2 linked regions of the Cricetulus griseus genome follow. The protein of the gene in region 1 purifies or fractionates together with the protein of each later gene. This does not show direct contact. Links are inferred from orthologs where the notes say so. Each region holds a gene or a part of one and is shown on either strand. Other genes may lie near its edges.

Region 1 (4,446 bases):
GTATATCACTTAAAGATTTGCTTACACTGAGTTTAAAGTAAATATAACTTGAGTAATTTCATGAAGGGCTATAGTTTCTTTCTAAAGTACAGCTGACCCTCAAAGTCAAGAGAGTAAGTAATATTGACGAGTTCATAATAAACTATTTCTGTGCAACCTTGAAGATTAATGACCTTTGTCCTATAAAAGTTAAATAAGGTGGTACTTGTCTCTTGTCTCTCAATATAATCTTTGATGAAGTAGTATTTAAGAGCCGCTTCCGCCCCCCCAAAAGAAAAAAAAAATAGCATATGCTTCCCTGGGTTAATAAATAATCATAAAAATAATATACTTTTGAAAAACATGCCAGATAAAGTTACATTTCTAGAACCGCCCACAGTGTCACACAAAAGAGATCAGAGCAGAACAGACTCAAAGGTAAGTTACACTTGGCTTCAAAAGTATTACATAACTATGAGAATGCTTCCAGATTCCATTTTTCTTAGGTCAATGAAAATGCCTTCCCTGGGTACAAAGTGACTGTGAGAAATTAAGGAAGGAAGCTGGGTGGTGGAAGAAGAAAGTTATTCAAAGTTTAAATCTTCCATAATATACATGGATACTTTACGTAAAGTAAAACAATCATGGTGAAATAAAACACTGAAACCATTCTTACTGCTTCACACTAATAAGGCTGTGTAAACTGTATACACACTAACACCATAATTTGTAATACCAATAACATTTTGGGGAAAATGTACAATGTTGCTAAGTCAGATTTAAAAAATAATAAATTGCTTTCACCTGATAAGTCATGGTGAATAAGGTCAGCAAAATTGGGATCTTTACCCCACCAAAATATCCACAATTCTCTTCTTCCAGGTCTTTGATCTCGACGCCAAACACCAAGAACATCTGCCTTAAGGCATCGACTAAAACTGCTCAAAATGGGGTCTTCTTCTGTCACCGGAAACAGAATAGGGGCAGAAGTTGGGCCTTGCCATACGTATCTTTTCCACTTAATTCCTGTCAGGTCGGCCTGAAGAAAAGAAAACATGATTTCTATATTATTGTACATTCACTTAAGTAAAAAAAAAAAAAAAAAATCATTATAAAGTACCTGATTTCATTAAAACATCACTATTTTCAATGCATGCCTAAGACATTTAAAGACTATGACCAAAATAACAAACATCATGCAAATAATTCTAATACTTCAACCAGCAAGAACTTAAGGAAAAGAACACACAACAGTTTTAAAAAACAGTAATAACAATATCACTGAATAGCACATCTATAATAAATACAACAACATATCCAGAATTTAATAAATGAGACAATGATGTTAAACATGCATTCCAGTACTGCACAGTATGTCTATCTTTCCTCTGCCCTACATTCTTTTCTAACTGGTCAGTCACATTTGTTCCTTGGTGAACTGAAAATTAAAGACCCTCATTCAAGTTTGTAAGAAGTCAAGGCTCTAACAAGACATCTGAACAATTTTCTAAACGGAAAAAAAAAAAAAGCCTGTTAATTCTTCACAAGCACACATCTTTAGGAAAAGAACTACTTCCAAAGAGCTGTCAGATTTGTGCTAATCTATCTTCAAAGAACCAAAGTGCCAAAAATAGATCCAGTTGGGAAAGACAGAAATGTTAAACCTGCTGTATGCTGTACATCTTACTACATGTGAAGATGCTGATTACTGGACACTGTCAAGAAATATTCCACCACGTAGAAGTTCGTTAAAGATCCCCATTTACCATTGCGAAGGAAATTCAACAAAGGAAATTCAGCAAGTCTTTATTCTAACTTAGCGACAGAAAGCATAAGGTGCCAAAAATGAAACTGCTGATACATGACTGGCAGTTTACGCTTGCCAACTAGTTATGCTCCACCCACTTAATTCACTTAACTATGATAGACTTAATATTTCTCATCGCACAGGAAAAAAAAATGAAAAAGTCACTCCAACATAAAGTCATTGACGAAACTCAGCTATCGCCTAATTAAGGACTAGATATTTGCAACAGTTGGTACTTTTGAGAGAAGTCTTAAAAACTATTGGCTATTACCCGACTGGGGCCAACCTACACAGTACAACATTCCTACATCCAGCGTCCCCAGACTTTTCAGTTCAATAAAAGGAGCAGCCAGCGCAAAACATTCTTTAAACGTAAGCAAAACAGACAAACATAGAACGTTTAGTGCGAAACCACAGTACCTCCTCCATTAGCCCCTCCACTCTCACAAAAACATAATGTTCTAATAAAAGCAAGATGGCTAGAAATTGTCAAAATGGCAAAATGTTTTCAAAGTTTAAAAAGAAAACATATGAACGCCGTTTGTACGCAAAGATCTGAAGTCACCCATAAGAAACTACCGCTGTGTTAGCTTAACTTATAAAACGAAGAGAGGGGCTTTAATACGTAAGTTTTTTGGGGGGGTCCTGTTTAAGGGAAGTCCAATTAGCAGGGAAAAGCATAAAGGGAGTGAAGGAGGGACAATCATGGAAAAGTGTGAAAAAGGGATAGATACACTGTTCGATACGGGGTGGGGGGGGTGGGGTGGTAAGTAAGAAGCACTCAAGAAAATATTACTGTCCGGCCAGATAAGAAACCCAAGTTAAGGACAAGACTACGATGGAGGGAAAAAAGCGTCCAAAACAAGACAGGAGAAGGGGAAAGACAAGACTCTTCCAAGCAGAGTCCTGGCCGGTAGGTAGGTGAGCGGACGCTGTCTCCCGGGGCGGCCGCAGAGCCTCGCAGGAGGCCGACTCCGGCGGGGCCTAGCCGGGGGACACCGGCATCTGGATGAGACCCGTACCCCCTCCCCCACGGCCCAAGGGCGCCCGGCGCGGCCCCCTCCCCCACCGCCCGCAGCCCCCGCACTCACCAGGCAGAAGAGGTTACAGTGACAATCTTCCAGGCTGGCCCCGTTCGACACGAAGGAGGAACTCATCGTCCCTCACAGCAGCCGCCGCCGGCGCCACAACCCACCATCCGCCATTACCGCCGCCTCCGACCAGAGAGAGAAACACAGACACCGGGGAGGGCGGGGGGCGGTGGGGAGGAGGCCGCCGGGCCGCCCGCCCTCCCCGCCGCCCCCCGGCCCCGGGCACCCAGCCGCCGGGCCGAGGCCGCAGGCGGGGCCGCGCCGCGCCGCGCTCGGCCGGCCGGCCGCCGGACTGCGGAGCTCGCGGACGCGCGTCCCTCTCCGGAGAGGAGGGGAAGGGATGTGTGCCCCTTCCACCGGGAAAAAAAAAAAAAAGGTTAAAAAGCAAAAAAACAAAAAACAAAAAAAAATTATCAGTTACACGATAAATAGTCAAGAGCCCGAGTCCGAGCGGGCCGAGCCCTGAAGCCCGGGAGGGTTCTCCCCGGCCCGGGGGCGCCCGCGGAGGGGCGGGAAGGGCGAGGACCGGCGGAGCAGCCCGGGCCCCCGGCCCGGCAGGAGCGATGTCCTTAAGCCCAGAGTCTCCTCGGCGGCGGAGGTGGTGGCGGCGTCTGAGGGCTCAGTCCATTCTCCGGCTGCGTCCTCGTGTTGTCCCTGGGCCAAGCCTGCCTAACGTCTGCTCTCCTGCCGCCTCACCGCCTGTACGCCGTAGTCTCCCCCATTTTGTGGGCCCAGCGGGCGGTGTTTTTCCCCCTTTAATCCGAATTCACGGGTTTTCCCTTCGCTTTAATGGCGGCCACAGGGACCAGCTCGCCCTCTCTGCTCGCCCATTGGCCGCCGTGAGGTCACGTGGGCCCGGGCTCCGTGGGGAGGGGGAGAGAGAAGGCAGTGAGGGAGAGCAGAGAAGCTTTCGGAGCCCCGGGGACCGGGCAGCCAGCTGGTGGCTACTAAGATGGCGCCATCTGCTGGATGCCCCGGTTAAGATGACCCGGGCCTTGGCCCTAGCTTTCTCCTGGCTGGAGAATGTGCAGTACAGGAAGGTTCACTTCAAAACCAACGAGAATTACTTGGAAATCAGTTCGAATTCTTTGGAAGAGAAAGTTGGCAACAACAACAACAACAAAAAATTCCAATGCATTCTCATTTATTCCATAAGGCCTCCAGGGTACAGCTCAAAACTCTTGGACTTGAGAATCAGAGCTGGATGGAGATCAGCCTCAGCCGCCCTTTATAAGAGTTATAATAACGAGGTAAAAGTGAAACAATATAGCCTTGTGGCTAGTAAACTGGGGATAAAGTCATGCTGTACAGGATTTGAAGCTGGAGCCTCTTTGAGACTCAGTTTCCTGATCTGTAAAATGAGAGAAACAAGCCTCATATTGGCGATATGATGCATTAATGCAACCAGAGTTCTAATTCAGTGCCTGGCGCAGATGAGTGCGGTAAAGCCATACACTTTTATATTGCCATCATTACTTTATATGGTTATTTTGAGGAGCAAATGAACTCTAAGAGTAAGAATCATGATAATTGGTACTTTCTTTCTAGCTGTCCATTGCCTTAAAAGGT
Region 2 (4,392 bases), on another chromosome or scaffold:
CTTTATTATAAGTATTCCTAACTAGAAAAAATATTGCCTCAGACTTGTCACTATAAACTTTTATGTTCCACTTTTTTTGAGACAGGGCCTCACATACCCCAGACTGGCTGGAACTTGTGTATAGCCAAGTATGGCCTTGAACCTCTGGTCTGCCTGGCTCCACTTCCTAAATGTTGGGATTAAATCAAGGCCAGTTTATGTGGCGTGCAACCCATATTCTAAGCGGGGTTTTCTTTGGTTTTGGGGTTGGGGAGGTTGTCTGTTTGGTTTTGAGTTTTTGTTGTTTGGTTTTGTTTCTCAAGACAAGGTTTCTCTGTGTTGCCCTAGCTGTCCTGGAATTGTAGACCCAGTTGACTTCAAACTCAGAGAGATCAGCCTGCCTCTGCCTCTGGCTCTAAATGGATTTTGTTTTTTTGGTTTTTGGGGTTTTTTTTTTTGGGGGGGGGGGTTGCTGTTGTTTTTAAAATCTACTTTGAAAATACAAAAGTTGACTTTATTTTATTTACTCTAATTTACCAGTTTCACTCAAGGAAAAAGTGTATTTGAATCAAGATCTTTATTAGAGAGACACACTGGGAAACAAACAGAACAAGGCACTATGTTTTGTTGCAAGCCCAGCCATTCAATTCAATTCAGAAGCAGAATTATTTTTAACTTCTCTCAGTTTCCAGGCAAAATAAAAATATTTCAAATTTAAAACTTTTTTTTTTAAATTCTAGATGAAGTGTACTACAAAGTTAGCTTGGGGAGAGAGGGGATCCACCTCGGTTATTTTATAACAACAATGTCCAATAGTAGCAATGGATTTGCTTTCCCCAATCATCCCTGTAAAGACTCCCACTGGAATACCAATTTAAAAAGTACTGTGGATACTCCAAAAACAAAGCACAACTCGATTACAGCACCTATAGCCCCAGGAGAGCCCTCAAGGACACATGGTAATTAAAAGAAACAACTCCTTCAACTGAGTAACTTGACCTCTACAGTTGTACCTACAACAGTAATCATCATCCTTGAAACCTGGACAGTTCTTGTAATTTTCAGAGCACTGTATATGAAACACTTCACACGATGTGTTTTGTTTTTCCTCTTACAATAAAATCAGCACATACTACTTTGATGCTGGAGTTCCGTCACCCAGCCAATCAAATTACAGCAGTGCAAGAAGGAACCCTAAGTAGCACTTCAAATCTAAAGTGTGGTGACAATCTGCTTATCAAAAATGCTCCAACACGATCCTAAAAACTCTCTTTTGTATAGTCTGACACTCCTTAGGGTCGGTTGGAGACTTTCTTTCCAAGTTCCAGAACCTAGCAAAAAGGAATTCCTTCCAGGATGGGACCAAGGAAACAACCGGCTTTAAAACCCACCATTCCTAGGCCAGAAGCGGGTTCCATCCGTCCTGCTCTGGCCCAAAGAAGACATTCTCGATGCATTATTATTAATATAACAATCAAATAATGCTCCCCAAGAGATTCCTATAAATTCCCTCAACTCCTAAGAACCGGTGGTTCAGGCCTGGGTCTGTCACTCCGTTTTCTGTTCTTGATGGTCTAGGTTTTCGATAAACACAACCAAAGCACGCAGCCATTTGACAAGAGGATGGGAAATGGAGGATATAATACTCAATATTTCTTCCTGAAGAAAAAAAAGGGGGGTAGCACATGTCCTTAATCACAGTACCTGAGAGGCAGAGGCAGGCGGATCTCTGAGTTCCAGGCCAGCCAGGAGAGCAGAGACCCTGTCTTAAAAAAAAAAAAGGGGGGGGGGGTAGGCGGTACCCAAGATAGCCAAGAGGAAGAAAAGGTAGGCACCAAAGAACACTAACATTTAATCTCTCCAGGGTCCACCTTCAGAGTGCTAAACTCAGAATGTTAGCATGTGGAATCGGGAGCAGGTGAGCAATCAGGGATGCAGACTGGGTTGGCAGCATCCAGAGTCAGACCCCAGGGGCCCGCCAGGACCCTCAGCGCGCTGCCGCCACACGGGCGGCGCCCCCGCGAGCTTTCAAACCGCCGCCCCGGGAAGGCGCTGCGCCGATTGGGAAGTTCTTCCACGACCGTCACCAGCACAGGGCCATAGCGGTAACTCTTCAGCCAAGCCCTCCCAGACCTCTCCGAGTCCCCGGGGACCAGACCTCCAAACTCCACCTCCAGGCGCGGTCTCCACCAGGTCGTCGCCCGCTGTAAGCACGCAGCGGCGACTCGCGGCGGGACCGACGCCCCCCGACGGGGCTGCGCCGAGCGACTTGGAGGGGCGCGACCGGCCAGCGGGGGGCGGCAGCACGAGTGCCTCCGGCTCGCCCCCGGGACGCCGCTCCGCGACCCACGCCACCTCGCCCCGTGGGCTCCGACCCACCCAGCCCTGCGGGTCTCCCAGCGGCGGGGACCGGACGAGCCCACTCCCCCGCCCGCGCTCTTACCCATCTTTCCGCCTCGCCTTGTAGACGTGCCCATAGGTGCCGCGTCCCACTTTGCACCCTTCGTACTCAAACAGATCCTCCACCCGCTCCCGCTCCGCCGCCAGCTTCGCCTTGAAATCATAATCCATTGTCTGCTTCCCCCATAGAGAAACCGGGACGCGGGGGCCGCCGCCACTCAGTCCCTCCGCCGCCGCCGCTCCACTTCTCCAACAGCCGCCGCTCGGGCGCGCGCGCGCCGCCCGCCGCTCCGCAGTCCGCCTTCAGCAAGGGACTCCTCGGCGGCCGAGGCAGCCACCTCCTCCGCCTCCTCCTCCTCCGCGGCGGCGGCGGAGGCTCCCGCAGGCACCCACAGTCCCGCCTCCCCCCTTCATTTCCTTGTTTTGGAACCTGGTGGGCCGCGCCGCGGCTTTCTCGAACTCATTAACAAGCCAAGCGGCCCGCCCCGAGGTGGCGGGGGATCCTGGGAAATGTGGTTTAACAGGCCTCGGGAACCGTGCTAGTTCCTCGGAGGTAAGGAATACAGTTCCCAGGGTTCCTTGGGCCATTTCGGCCACGCCTCCACAAGGCAAAAACGCCTGCGCACAGTCTCCGCCCCACCCCCTCAGGTAGCCCGCGACTCGCTGTTCCCGTAAACTATAGCGCGAAGTTGCAGCGAGCTTTCTGCAAGCCCGTGGGAGCTTGTGGGAGGGAAGCCTTTGCTCTGCTGGAAAGGAGATAACCGGCTCTGGCTGTCCCTGGGCGAAGGGAGCTGGAAGCACCTCACGAGCGCCTAGTGCCGGAGCTCATTCCGGGGCATCCGGAGCCGAGGACCGGGGTTTCGACAGTTGTACTACACATTGTTTGTTTTCTTGGGCAATTGATCCTCCCGTTGCCCCGCCCCTGGCCGCGGCTTATTGGCAGAGGCTGAAGAATGACGTCCTCGTGGGTGCATGGGTATCTCCGGCTTTGGCTTCTTTCCCGCTCTTGATTGGTAATTGGATGTGCTCGGTTCTTCCTGATAGGTTAGTCTTTTTTCTTTACGATGCAAAAACCGTATTTCAAAACCTGAACATTCAGCGGTTTCCCAGCTCTTGCTAGGGGAACCGTGTAACTTCTCGGGCCCACAGCCAATTATCTTTTTCTTGGCGCTCCAGTCGGGTTTTATCCTAGCATATGCGGGGTGCGGTAGCCGAGCTTTAACCATCTGTCTGAGAACAATTAAAGTGCCTGGAAGATTGGAAAATGCAGCGTTTTAAAAACAATCATTTTTGCTGGGTTGTAAAGCGTTTTTACAGTATATGCATAATAGTGAGACTCACCTAGGGGTTTTAAGAAATTTATCTTAATCATGACTTTGATTCGTTTTGATGTCTGGGGCTCAGGACACGTCGGCTCAAAATATGTAAGAGCCTAGAAAGTGCCACGCTAAAAATGTGTCCCTCTGCGTGTTGATTATTTTTAAACTAAAAGAAATGGAGATCCATCCAACACACGAGTTTCAGCTCCCTTCCACTACCCAAAATAAAATATAAGGGAACATTTTTTGTAAAGAGAATGTTAAATTTGTAAGAGAAATTTTATAGGGTATCTTTATCAGTAAGGCAGCTTAGCTATTCGTAGACAACATTATTGTTGGGGAGGCTATCTTTATTCTTTTCTCTCACCTTACCTTAATTAATTTGTCTCCACTACCTACTAAAACTTCAAATTCTTGTTCCTTTCTGTATGCCATGAGCTTCAATCATCTGTCCTTTGAGTTACATTTTGTAGGACTCCTGTGCACACGAGTACAACTAACCTTGTTCTCTTACCAGACATGATTACCAACACTTGTAGTCCCTCCTGCTCTTGGCAGAGTCAAAGACAATCAATCTCTTGAGCAGCGGAGTTTGGAGACCCTCGGTAGTTCTGCTTATCGGGTTTGTGCCATTTTAATTTGCAGACTAACCAAGCAATTTAGATAGAGTGAAGTTATTTTTCCTCCCCTATAA

The links.
Region 2: the proteins of Med13 (region 1) and Cdk19 purify together in Homo sapiens (affinity purification with mass spectrometry; 6 studies listed by BioGRID and IntAct, counting the BioPlex papers as one, with this or other methods). This does not show direct contact. The link is inferred for Cricetulus griseus from reciprocal best matches to the Homo sapiens genes MED13 and CDK19.

The regions. Positions count from the first base shown.
Region 1 is NC_048600.1:99,606,342-99,610,787, forward strand, and holds the start of Med13 (mediator of RNA polymerase II transcription subunit 13), read right to left. Parts: upstream 3,068-4,446; 5' UTR 2,944-3,067; coding exon 2,878-2,943; intron 1,019-2,877; coding exon 784-1,018; intron 1-783. UniProt on the Homo sapiens protein: Component of the Mediator complex, a coactivator involved in the regulated transcription of nearly all RNA polymerase II-dependent genes.
Region 2 is NC_048595.1:262,900,758-262,905,149, reverse strand, and holds the start of Cdk19 (cyclin-dependent kinase 19), read right to left. Parts: upstream 2,804-4,392; 5' UTR 2,551-2,803; coding exon 2,423-2,550; intron 1-2,422.